Callithrix jacchus: one gene and its partner. The protein of the gene in region 2 purifies or fractionates together with the protein of the main gene of each other region. This does not show direct contact. Links are inferred from orthologs where the notes say so. Each region holds a gene or a part of one and is shown on either strand. Other genes may lie near its edges.

Evidence for each region. The genes of interacting proteins can lie anywhere in the genome.
Region 1: the proteins of HSPA12B (region 2) and EEF2K purify together in Homo sapiens (affinity purification with mass spectrometry; 3 studies listed by BioGRID and IntAct, with this or other methods). This does not show direct contact. The link is inferred for Callithrix jacchus from reciprocal best matches to the Homo sapiens genes HSPA12B and EEF2K.

Annotation. Positions count from the first base shown.
Region 1 is NC_133513.1:22,841,879-22,847,362, forward strand, and holds part of EEF2K (eukaryotic elongation factor 2 kinase), read left to right. Parts: intron 1-2,510; coding exon 2,511-2,660; intron 2,661-3,061; coding exon 3,062-3,194; intron 3,195-3,451; coding exon 3,452-3,579; intron 3,580-4,311; coding exon 4,312-4,513; intron 4,514-5,484. UniProt on the Homo sapiens protein: Threonine kinase that regulates protein synthesis by controlling the rate of peptide chain elongation.
Region 2 is NC_133506.1:11,263,387-11,268,870, forward strand, and holds part of HSPA12B (heat shock 70 kDa protein 12B), read left to right. Parts: intron 1-965; coding exon 966-1,090; intron 1,091-3,293; coding exon 3,294-3,480; intron 3,481-3,868; coding exon 3,869-3,973; intron 3,974-4,296; coding exon 4,297-4,413; intron 4,414-5,484.

The DNA of each region.
Region 1 (5,484 bases), on a different chromosome or scaffold from region 2:
CAGTTGCTGTCTGCCTGTCTGGTGACCCACTCTCCCTGGATAGTCATTTCCTTGGGAAACCTGGGACCTGATCCTCCCAAGAGGTGGCATTGAGGGGACATGGGGGCCAAGGGTGAGTCCTTGTGTAACAGGACAAGAGATACAAGCTAGAGTCCTTCATCTCTCCTACTCTACTCTATAAGCCATATGCACTATTTGTAGATTTTCTTCTGTGTACAAAATTAAATATAGACTTTGTTAAAAAAAAAAATTCAACAAGGAATGTCAACGTTCCCTATAATTTCCCATTGCAGGGAGAGAACTGCTGTTTAGAGGTTGCTTTATATTTCTCTAGAATTGTGGCTTCTGATAAAAATAAAATGAGTGGCCAGGCACAGTGGCTTATGTCTGTAATCCTAGCACTTTGGGAGGCCAGGCGGCCAGATCACTTGAGGTCAGGAGTTCGAGACCAGCCTGGCCAGCATGGTGAAACTGTGTCTACTAAAAATATAAAAATTAGCTGGGCATGGTGACGGGTGCCTGTAGTCTCCCAGGTACTCGAGAGGCCGTGGCAGAGGTGAACCCAGGAGGCGGAGGTTGCAGTGAGCCAAGATTGCACCACTGCACTCCAGCCTGGGCCATAACAGAGTGAGACTCTGTCTCAAAAAAATAAAATATAAAATAAAATAAAGCAAAAGCAAACATTGTTTGGCTCCTTTTTGCATCAACAAATTTAATTCACAGGCTGAGTCTGAGACTCTTTCTGCAGGTGAGGAAACTGAGGCATAGAGAGGTAAAATTCATAAATGTTCCCAAATTCATGGTATTACTGTAAGGCATAGTCTAAGTTGTTTAGCAAACAGACCCACAAATATGTGCAGACATGAAATAGTTTCTGTCTCACTTGTGTGGAGGTCCTGCATTGGTGGGTGACTTGGGGTAGGCTGGTGCCTCATCTCCTTGAAGCCATCTAGAGACCTGGTTCCTTTGGTCTTGTTTGTCTGCCATCCCCTCAGGGGTTTGCCATGGACCACATGATCAGTTCTGGCTCCCAAGCAGAGTCCACCTTATAGGGCAGGCTGGAGTTTTGTCATTGCAATGCTCAGTTCCCATTGGCCAGGCACGGTCATGTGGCCATACTTAGCTGCAAGGGAATCTTAGCAATGTCATCCCTAGTGGGTGGCTATGGACCCTTTTAAAATTCAGTGATTTGGGGTCTGGGTGCAGTGGCTTTGGCCTATAATCCCAGCACTTTGGGAGGCCAAGGTGGAGAGATCATAAAGTCAGGGGATCGAGATCATCCTGGCCAACATGGTGAAACCTTGTCTCTACTAAAATACAAAAAATTAGCCAGGCAAGGTGGTGCATACCTGTAGTCTCTACTCAGGAGGCTGAGGCAGGGCAATCGCTTGAACCCAGGAGGCAGAGATTGCAGTGAGCCAATATTGCACCACTGCACTCCAGCCTGGCAACAGAGTGAGACTCTATCTCAAAAACAAAAAAAACTCAGCGATCCAGGGTTTCATTCTAAAAGGAAAAGAGAGCTGAGCACAGTGGCTGCATCCTGTGATCCTAATGCTCTGGGAGGATGCTGGAAGTTAAGAGAATTGCTTGAGGCCAATTCAAGACCAGCCTAGGCAACAGAGCGAGACCTCGTCTCGATAAAAATATTTAGATATGAGCCATATGTAGTGTGTAGTGACGTACACCTGTAGTTCTAGCTCCTCGGGAGGCTGAGGTGGGAGGATCGCTTGAGCCCAGAAGTTTGAGGCTATCATGAGCCATAATTATGCACTCCAACCTGGGCAACAGAGTGAGACCCTGTCTCCAAAAAGAATTTTCTTTTTTTGAGATGGCATCTCACTCTATTACCCAGGCTGGAGTACAGTGACATGATCTTGGCTCACTGCAACATCTGCCTCCTGGGTTCAAGTGATTCTCCTGCCTCAGACCCCTTGAGATTACAGGCAGACACTACCACACCCAGCTAATTTTTGTGCTTTTGTTTTATTTATTAATTTTTTTTTTTTTTTTTGAGATGGAATCACACCCTGTCACCAAGCTGGAGTGCAGTGGTGCGATCTTGACTCACTGCACCTTCCACCTCCCAGGTTCAAGCAATTCTCCTGCCTCAGCCTCCTGAATAGCTGGGACTACAGGCGCACACCACCACACCCAGCTAATTGTTGTGTTTTTACTAGAGATGGGGTTTCACCATGTTGGCCAGGATGGTCTCAATCTCTTGACCTCGTGATCTGCCCACCTTGGCCTCCCAAAGTGCTGGGATTACAGGCATGAGCCACTGCACTGCGTCCAGCAATATGTATTTTTTAATTAAAAAAAAATGAAAGGAAAAGAGGAGATCAGATTCTGGGCATCATCAGGAGCTCCTGCAGTAGAGAGCTAGTAAGTGACGGAGCCAGGGTCTGAGCCCAGGCAGGCCAGCTCCTCTCAGCACTCCTGCTGCCGATTCTCAGAGGAGGTGCACTGGGCCCTCCCACCTGAGCCCACTCCCACTCCCATCCCATCAGGTGGACATCATGCAGATGTGCATCCTTGAGCTAAAGGACAGACCAGGCCAGCCCCTCTTCCATCTGGAGCACTACATCGAGGGCAAGTACATCAAGTATAACTCCAACTCAGGCTTTGTCCGTGACGACAACATCCGCCTGACACCGCAGGTGAGGCCCCTGCTTACCTGCATGCTCTGCCCACCCCAGCCCTTTGGGATGGGATCCTGGCCAGGTTTAGCCCCCAAAGAGGATGGTCCTTGTGGGCTTGGAGTCTCACCCTCAGAGGAGCCCTGTGAGCATTCTGAAGGAGACTATAACGGGACACCTGTCACCCCATGACAGCTTCTCTTACCTAAGGTGGCCACAGGACCTTCAGCCCACAGTCCCTGCCTAACTGAACCGGCCTTTTTCCTTTGTCTTTTCCTCTATATAACTCCTCCTTGCAGAGAAAGCCTCTCAGCATGGGCAAAGCTGGGGCATTTCAACCCCCAGAGCAGAGGTGTGGCCAGTGCCTGCACAGCCCTCAGCCTGTCTCTTGACATCTCCTTTTCCTTCCTGTCCCCGTGCAGGCCTTCAGCCACTTCACATTTGAGCGTTCCGGCCATCAGCTGATAGTGGTGGACATCCAGGGAGTTGGGGATCTCTACACTGACCCACAGATCCACACAGAGATGGGCACTGACTTTGGTGACGGCAACCTAGGTAGGTGGGGAGAGCCAACCTGTTTCCCCAGAAACCACACTCCCTGCTAAAACCTCTGAGCTCTTTGTGCAGCCAAGGAAATAGGCTGAGACACTGTCTGCGCTTTCCCAAGATTGTGGAGATGGGAGCCTGGATGTCTGATGCCTCCCAGCTCCACAAGTTTTGTAGCTGCCCTGGCCATGTGTCTGAGGCCCACCACTGCCTGTTCCCCGTCACAGAGCAAAGCAACACTCCAGACACCCCTGCTCTGTCCACAGGTGTCCGCGGGATGGCGCTTTTCTTCTACTCTCATGCCTGCAACCGGATTTGTGAGAGCATGGGCCTTGCTCCCTTTGACCTCTCGCCCCGGGAGAGGGACGCAGTGAATCAGAACACCAAGCTGCTGGTGGGTGCCTGGTGTGACCCTGCTTGGCCTGGTGGGCCCTTCTGCTACCCGCGCAGCAAGCCTTGCTCCCCTGTGTGGTGACAGCCAGGCCGAGCAGTGCTTAACTGACAAATACCAGAGCTGGAAGCATCTGTCCCATCTGTGCCCCAGGCTGTCCCCTCCAGCTCAGTGCACAGAGTCCTCCTGAGTGTCTCACAGTCTAGCAGCTGGTATCTGCTTAGGTTGGGCCCATTTATTCTCAGAGTGAGGGGAATAGACATGTAGAGATAGTGAGAAGGCATGTGGTGTGTGTGTGTTTGTGTGTTATATTCAGTTCAGACAAACGACTGAACTGGTCTTAGACCTGGCTCTCCAGGCACCTCAGCAGGATAACTCCCATCCCTCCCACTGCTATTTGGACCAGAGACAAGAGAATGTTGCCAAGACCAGCCTAGGATGCTGGACATAGAGTGGGATGCTTTCTCCAGCTCCAGGCTGTGGAATGTGGTCAGTGCTTTAGGGGATGCTGGCTAGCAGGTCCTCTGAGCTTCTGTCCCTGATGCCCTTTCTTGGAGGACTTAGGTTTAATTCCCTACTGATTTTTTATTTTTTTGAGACAATATATCAGCCCCTAAACAGGCATGTTTAGAAGCTACAGATGAAGGGATTTCAGGGCTAGAGGAATAATAGGAAGAGCCCTTTATTTCCCACAGGGTGTGTGTGTGACATGAGTATCCCTGTTAATGTCCCCAGCAATCAGCCAAGACCATCTTGAGGGGAACAGAGGAAAAATGTGGGAGCCCGCGAATAAGGACCCTCTCTGGAAGTCGGCCCCCCCTGCTCCGTCCCCTGTCAGAGAACTCTGGAGATGAGAACATGAGTGACATGACCTTTGACTCCCTCCCTTCTTCTCCATCTTCGGCCACACCACACAGCCAGAAGCTGGACCACCTCCGTGAGTGATGGTTTGGTCCCCAGTCACTGTGCTTGGAGGGTTCAGGTAGAGCAGAGCTAAACTGGTTTTCATTTACGTTAGAAAAATCAGACATGCTAATCAAAAAGGTTCGTGGCCCCAGTGGTTTTATAAGTGAGTTTCATTGAGTGAACTTTCAAAACAGATCATCCAAATGCTATAAAAAGAACCCCTATTGTAGGAAACGAGGTTACATTTATCCGTGTGTTTTATGAAACCAGCAAAACCAGCAAAAAAAAAAAATATAGTAAACTTGACAAACTAAAAAAGAAAATTATATCCCAACCTTATTTAAAATTTTTATTTGTGTATATATATAGAGAGAGAACAAAAAAAAAAATCTCAATATTAACAAATAAAAATAGTAGTGTGTTAAAAGGCTCACCTGTCCCAGTTAAATAGGGATTTCATAGGAATCTGAGGGTTGTTCAGTATTAGAAAACTTATGAACATGATATTAATGGCTCAAAGGGGAAAAACAGAATCATTATTTCTGATGTTGAAAGGATGGAGTTTGCTGGTGATTCAGACAAGAGCCTGTGGGAAAGGATAGAGGCAAGACTGATCCCAGGGTGCTGGCCTGAAGAAATGGAACTCATGCATTCAGGAAAAGTATGAGTGGGAGCAGGCTCAGGAGGAGGAGAAGATTTTATTATTTAGTTTTTTAATTTTTCTCACTTCTGATACCTTTGGAAGAGAGAGTTTAGTATCAAACATTAAAGAAGACTTTTAGATGTTTCCACTGGAAGATCTTTGGAATAGTTTGGAACAGGAGTCAACAGACTTTTTTAAAAGGCCAGAGAGTAAATATTTTAACCTTTGCAGGTCATTCACTCTGCATTTGGAGCTTGAAAGCTACCATAGAAAATCGTTAAATGAGTAGACCTGGCTGTGTTCAAATAAAACTATGGATGGTGAAATGTAATTTTTGTTATCATTTAAAAACATAAACA
Region 2 (5,484 bases):
GAAACCCCACCTCTACAAAAAATACAAAAATTAGCCGGGCGTGGTGGCACGCATCTGTAATCCCAGCTACTCAGGAGTCTGAGGGTGGAGAATCGCTTGAACCTGGGAAGCAGAGGTTGCAGTGAGCCAAGATCACACCACTGCACTCGAGCCTGGGTGACAGAGTGAGACCTTGTCAAAAAAAAAAAAAAAAAAAGAAAGAAAAAGAAAAAAAGGAGGCTGGGCACCGTGGTTCACACCTGTTATCCAGCACTTTTGGAGGCCAAGGCAGGTGGATCACGAGGTCAGGAGACTGAGACTATCCTGGTTAACACAGCGAAAGCCTGTCTCTAAAAAAATAAATAAATAAAATAAAAATAATTAAAAAAGGAAACCAGTAGCTTGAAGTATCCAGGACACAAGCTCCCTGGGTTACCCCATCTGGATGACCTTGCCCTGGCGATCCAGCTTAGGGACTTCCTTATTCTCAGGGAGCCCAGGCTCTCTGGGGGCATGCACATGGCCTGTCCTCTCTGCCACAGAATCAGACAGTCTGGTTTGTGTCACTTTGCCCACAAAGAGCAAGAGGGTAAAATATACACTGGTCCATGTGTTGTAAAGCTACCTGGAGGAGCAAAATTGCTCTCAGCTGGGCCCAGGCTGGTGGCTGCCTATGAAGATGGTGTGAGGTAGGGGTGGGGCTAAGGCAGTCCAGGCAGAGGGTAGGCAGAGACTAGAAGCAAGAAAGCAGGAGCTTGAGCCGAACCCTTCCTGGGGCTACCTGAGAGGCATGTCCAAGGCTCAGCCTGGAGCCTGGGAGGGCAGGGGAGCCCGGACAGGTGGGCAGGTGGGGTGGGCCAGGGCCAGGGCCAGTCTGGATCACAGTCAGTGGAGAGGAGTGTCTCCCCCATGCAGAGGAAGTGTTGGGGGTGAGTGTGGGGGTGTCCCTCCTGGCTGCTTGCTAATTCTAGGTCTTGCACTTGCAGAAGCCCGAGGCCCGAGCCCCCCAGCAGGCCTCCTTCTCTGTGGTGGTGGCCATTGACTTCGGCACCACGTCTAGTGGCTATGCTTTCAGCTTTGCCAGTGACCCTGAGGCCATCCACATGATGAGGTGAGGGCAGCTGGGCTGGGAGAGTGAGGTGGGGAGCGTGGGGAGTCCCTCGTACCCTGGGATAATCTTGGTCCCAAAAGTACTGTCACCGAGACATGGGGTCTCCTCAGAGGCCCTGCCGTCCCTAGTCTGGGGCTCCTCACTGGGGCAAAAGTTTGGAGGATAGGCCCCAGGCCTGGGTCCGTGGCCTCAACTGGAGCAGCTCCCAGCCCTCTGAAGGAAAAATCAGACTTCGTTTTTAATTTTTTTGAGATATAACAAACATACAATAAAATATGCAAATCCTTTTTCTTTTCTTTTCTTTTTGAGATGGAATCTCGCTCTGTTCAGGCTGGAGGGCAGTGGCACAATCTCGGCTCACTGCAATCTCTGCCTCCCGGGTTCAAGCGATTCTCCTGCCTCAGCCTGCTGAGTAACTGGGACTACAGGCATGTGCCACCACACCTGGCTAATTTTTGTATTTTTAGTAGAGACTTGGTTTCACTATGTCAGCCAAGCTGGTCTCGAACTCCTGACCTCAGGTGATCCACCCGCCTCGGCCTTCCAGAGTGCTAGGATTACAGGCGTGAGTCACCACGCCTGGCCTTTTTAATTTTCTTTCTTTCTTACTTTTTTTTATTTGAGACAAGGTCTCCCTCTATCACACAGGCTGAAGTGCAGTGGTATGATCATAGCTCACTGCAGCCTTAAACTCCTGGGCTCAAGCAATCCTCCCACCTCAGCCTCCTGGCTAATTAAAAAAAAAAAATCTTTTTTGGAGAGACAGGGTTTCACTATGTTGCCAGGGCTAGTCTTAAACTCCTGGCCTCAAGTGGTCCTCCCACCTTGGTCTCCCAAAATGCTGGCATTACAGGTGTGAGCCACCGTGCCCAGCCCACAAATCTTTTTCTAAGCTTGTACTCAAACACACACATATACAAACACATATGTGTTTTTTAAGTAAAAGTGAGATATACAATTTCCTTTGTTTTAAACCTTCAACACTATTTTGTAGCTATTTCATGTCAGTACATACAAAGCTACCACTTTCTTTGAATGGTTGCCTAGTATTCCCACAGTACGGATGTGTCATAATTTATCCATTCCCCTATTGACAGTTTTAGGGTTTTTTTTTTCCTCCACTCATTTTTCACTATTACAAGAAGTGCAACAGTAATATGCTTCTTTGGAAACTTGTGCTGCAATCTCTATGGGGTAGATTCCAAGTGGTAATTCCTAGGTCCAACATCTCAAATAAAAACCAAGAAAATGAAGGTTCCAAGGGTTGAGTTGACGAGTCACACAGTTGTTATGAAAGACATGTTTCAAAATTCTATTCAGATGTTGTTGGGTTTTGTGTGAACACTCTCCTCTGGACCTCAAGACCCCAGTCCTCTGGATGTGTCCTAGGGGGTCGGCAGGCAGTAGGTGAAGCTATAGGAGACCTCAAAGCTCTCAACCCGGACTGGGATGGGAGGTAAGAGGGGCTTCCCCAGGCCTGGAGGCTGGCTGGAAGGGTGAATGGAGAGACAGACAGGTAACTGCTCCCAAAATACACAGGACTTGAGCTTCCTGAGATTGGGCTGTCCTTCCTCCTGCATCTTAGGAAGCCACAAAGGCTCTGGGCACTAACAGTGCTATAGGAACTACAGGCTCATCAAGACACACAGCTGAGGCCATGCTGGGGCTAAGGACACATGCAGGGACACTGTCTCTGTCCTGTGGAGGTGACAGTCACAGGAAACAACTGGGGGACATCCTGGCCTCCTCCCAAGCCTTCTCTTCCCATCAGCCACCAAGCCCCTAACATCTCTAGATGTTTCCCTAACACCTAGAATCCCCATCTTCTTCTCTTGGGCCACCGATCCTGCCCAAGTTCAGCCCCGACCTTCTCTCACCTGAATGGCGGCAGCGTCCTCCTCCCCGGTTTCCTTTCTCCTCCGTTCTGTTGCTCCACGGGAGCCAGTGACCTTTCTTTCTAAAGGCAAATGTGGTCATATCTCTTTACTACTTAAAATCCACCTAGACAGAGCTCCTAATGACATTCTGTTCTCTTCATGATCTGACCTTAGCATTCTTGTATTTTCTCCGGCTGCATATCCAGCCGACCCGTAGCTAGTTCTCCCTGCTCTTGCTCACCTGTAAGTTTTTGCATATGCTGTTCCCTCTGCCTGCATTCCCACCCAGGAAGGGAGGGTTGCACTGACGGCCCGGTGTCCCGCAGGAAATGGGAGGGCGGAGACCCGGGCGTGGCCCACCAGAAGACCCCGACCTGCCTGCTGCTGACCCCAGAGGGCGCCTTCCACAGCTTTGGCTACACCGCCCGCGATTACTATCATGACCTGGATCCCGAGGAGGCCCGGGACTGGCTCTACTTCGAGAAGTTCAAGATGAAGATCCACAGCGCCACAGTGAGTCACCGGGCTTCAGACAGGGAGGCGGGGCCTGCGCCTGCCTGGGAAAGCTAATGGGAGGGTGGGACAAAACCTAAAGGTGTAAGGACTGGCCCGAGGGAGTCCTGGCTGAGAGGGGGCGGGGCTAAAGGGAGACTTCGGACCCCAGTGTGGGAGGAACTCAGAAGTGAGACACCTGGAAGCGGGCTAATAGTGAAACGGGTTGCGGGAAGGGTGGGGCCTAGGAGAGGTGCTGGGGCAGAGCTAATGTCAGATTGGGGCAAGAATGAGACGGTGCTAAAGAGGAGGGGAAGCTTCAGAAAATGGGGTGGTTTTAAGAATGAGGTCGTCAGGAAATGAGGGCAGAGCTGAGGCTTCCTCCAGAGCCACCCTGTGTCCCTGCCAGGATCTCACCTTGAAGACCCAACTAGAGGCAGTAAATGGAAAGAAGATGCCTGCCCTGGAGGTGTTCGCCCATGCCCTCCGCTTCTTCAGGGAGCACGCCCTTCAGGTATGCTGCGGCCCCACTACTGCTGACTGCAGCAGGGACCCCCAGGCCCCTCTACTCCCATCCTTTCCCCTCATCCGAACATTCCCGCCCCCGACATTGGATGCGTAGCCACTGCCAGAGGTCCGAGGTCATTTTCTCCAGTTCCCTCTCTTTTCGTCTGGTAGAGCCTGTACCAAGCCATACTGATGGGAGGGGGCCCGATTCTTCCAACTCAGCTGGGAAGTCTTTCCTGTAGTTTGATTAGTTTCTCCAGCTCCACAGAGGGCTGAAGACCACCCTCCCTCCAAGCCAGCTCTTCCTCTCACTGCCCCCTTCTACACCAGGAGCTGAGGGAGCAGAGCCCATCGCTGCCAGGAAAGGACACTGTGCGCTGGGTGTTGACGGTGCCTGCCATCTGGAAACAGCCGGCCAAGCAGTTCATGCGGGAAGCTGCCTACCTGGTGAGGACATGCAGGCGGGCAGAGAACACTGCTCAGGAAGGCCCAGGCCTGTCCCCACGCCTGTATGCACCCACTACCCTTGGGACCACAGAGCATTGTGAAAGAACTTCAGCCTGCTCCTGCTGGGAGTTTGTAGGGTTGCTGCCACCTGGAGAGGGAGTGAGCCTGCAGGAATGGGACAGAGGGACAAGAGGCACAGCCCAGGCCATTGTAGACAGTGCCTTAAGTCAGGTGTCCTAGAAGCAGAGCCCAAGATGGAGACCCTTATATGTGAGGTCTATTGAAGAATGGTTCTCAGGAGAAAGGGGAGGGAGGGAAGTGGGACAGGAAAAGGGCTATGAAGGATGTGGTCTTGGCTGGAGTCTAGCCTCAGGTTTAACCTCAGCTAGAATTCATGGGGAGCTGCAGAGGGAGAACTGTAGCACAGAACTGGGGCCAGCTTCTTGTACATCCATATTGGTCTGTCATTGGTTCTGGGGGCATGGGAGGGAAACCTCTCCAAGTGACGCCATTCCCATTCAGCTGAGGGCAGCTGTCCAGAGGAGGTGGCAGCCGTGAGCCAGTAGCAGCCAACACTCACAGTGGCAGGCAGGGCCCCTAGAACATTTACTTCAGTTGGCATCAGTATTTTCAGGGGTATCCCCACCACTGCCCCACCTTTGTTGGTCCTTGAGCAGGGGAAATAGGACTATGAAAGTATAAAGGGAGGAGATTCTGACCAATACATGCAAGTCTTCCTACCACCGAGATGCTCAAAGACCTAGAGCAAGATATTGGAGGGGCTCCAGTGCAGACAGAGAGAGGGCACAGCCTCAAGACTCATTGCTTGAAGGGATCTCAAGTCTGCCTGTGGACCCCCTGGAGAAGCCCCCAATCCTCCTACACCTATGGGACAGGCGTGACCTGGGGCCAGGTCTGTAGATGCCTACACTTTTCACTGGGAGGAGCTAACCCTGAGCACAGTGGACACCCCTGTGCAAGGATCAGGACAGAAGCAAGGCTGTCCCCAACCAGAACAAACACCTGCTCCCCCAGAGATCCCTTGCCAGTTTCCCCACCCTGCTTCCTCCC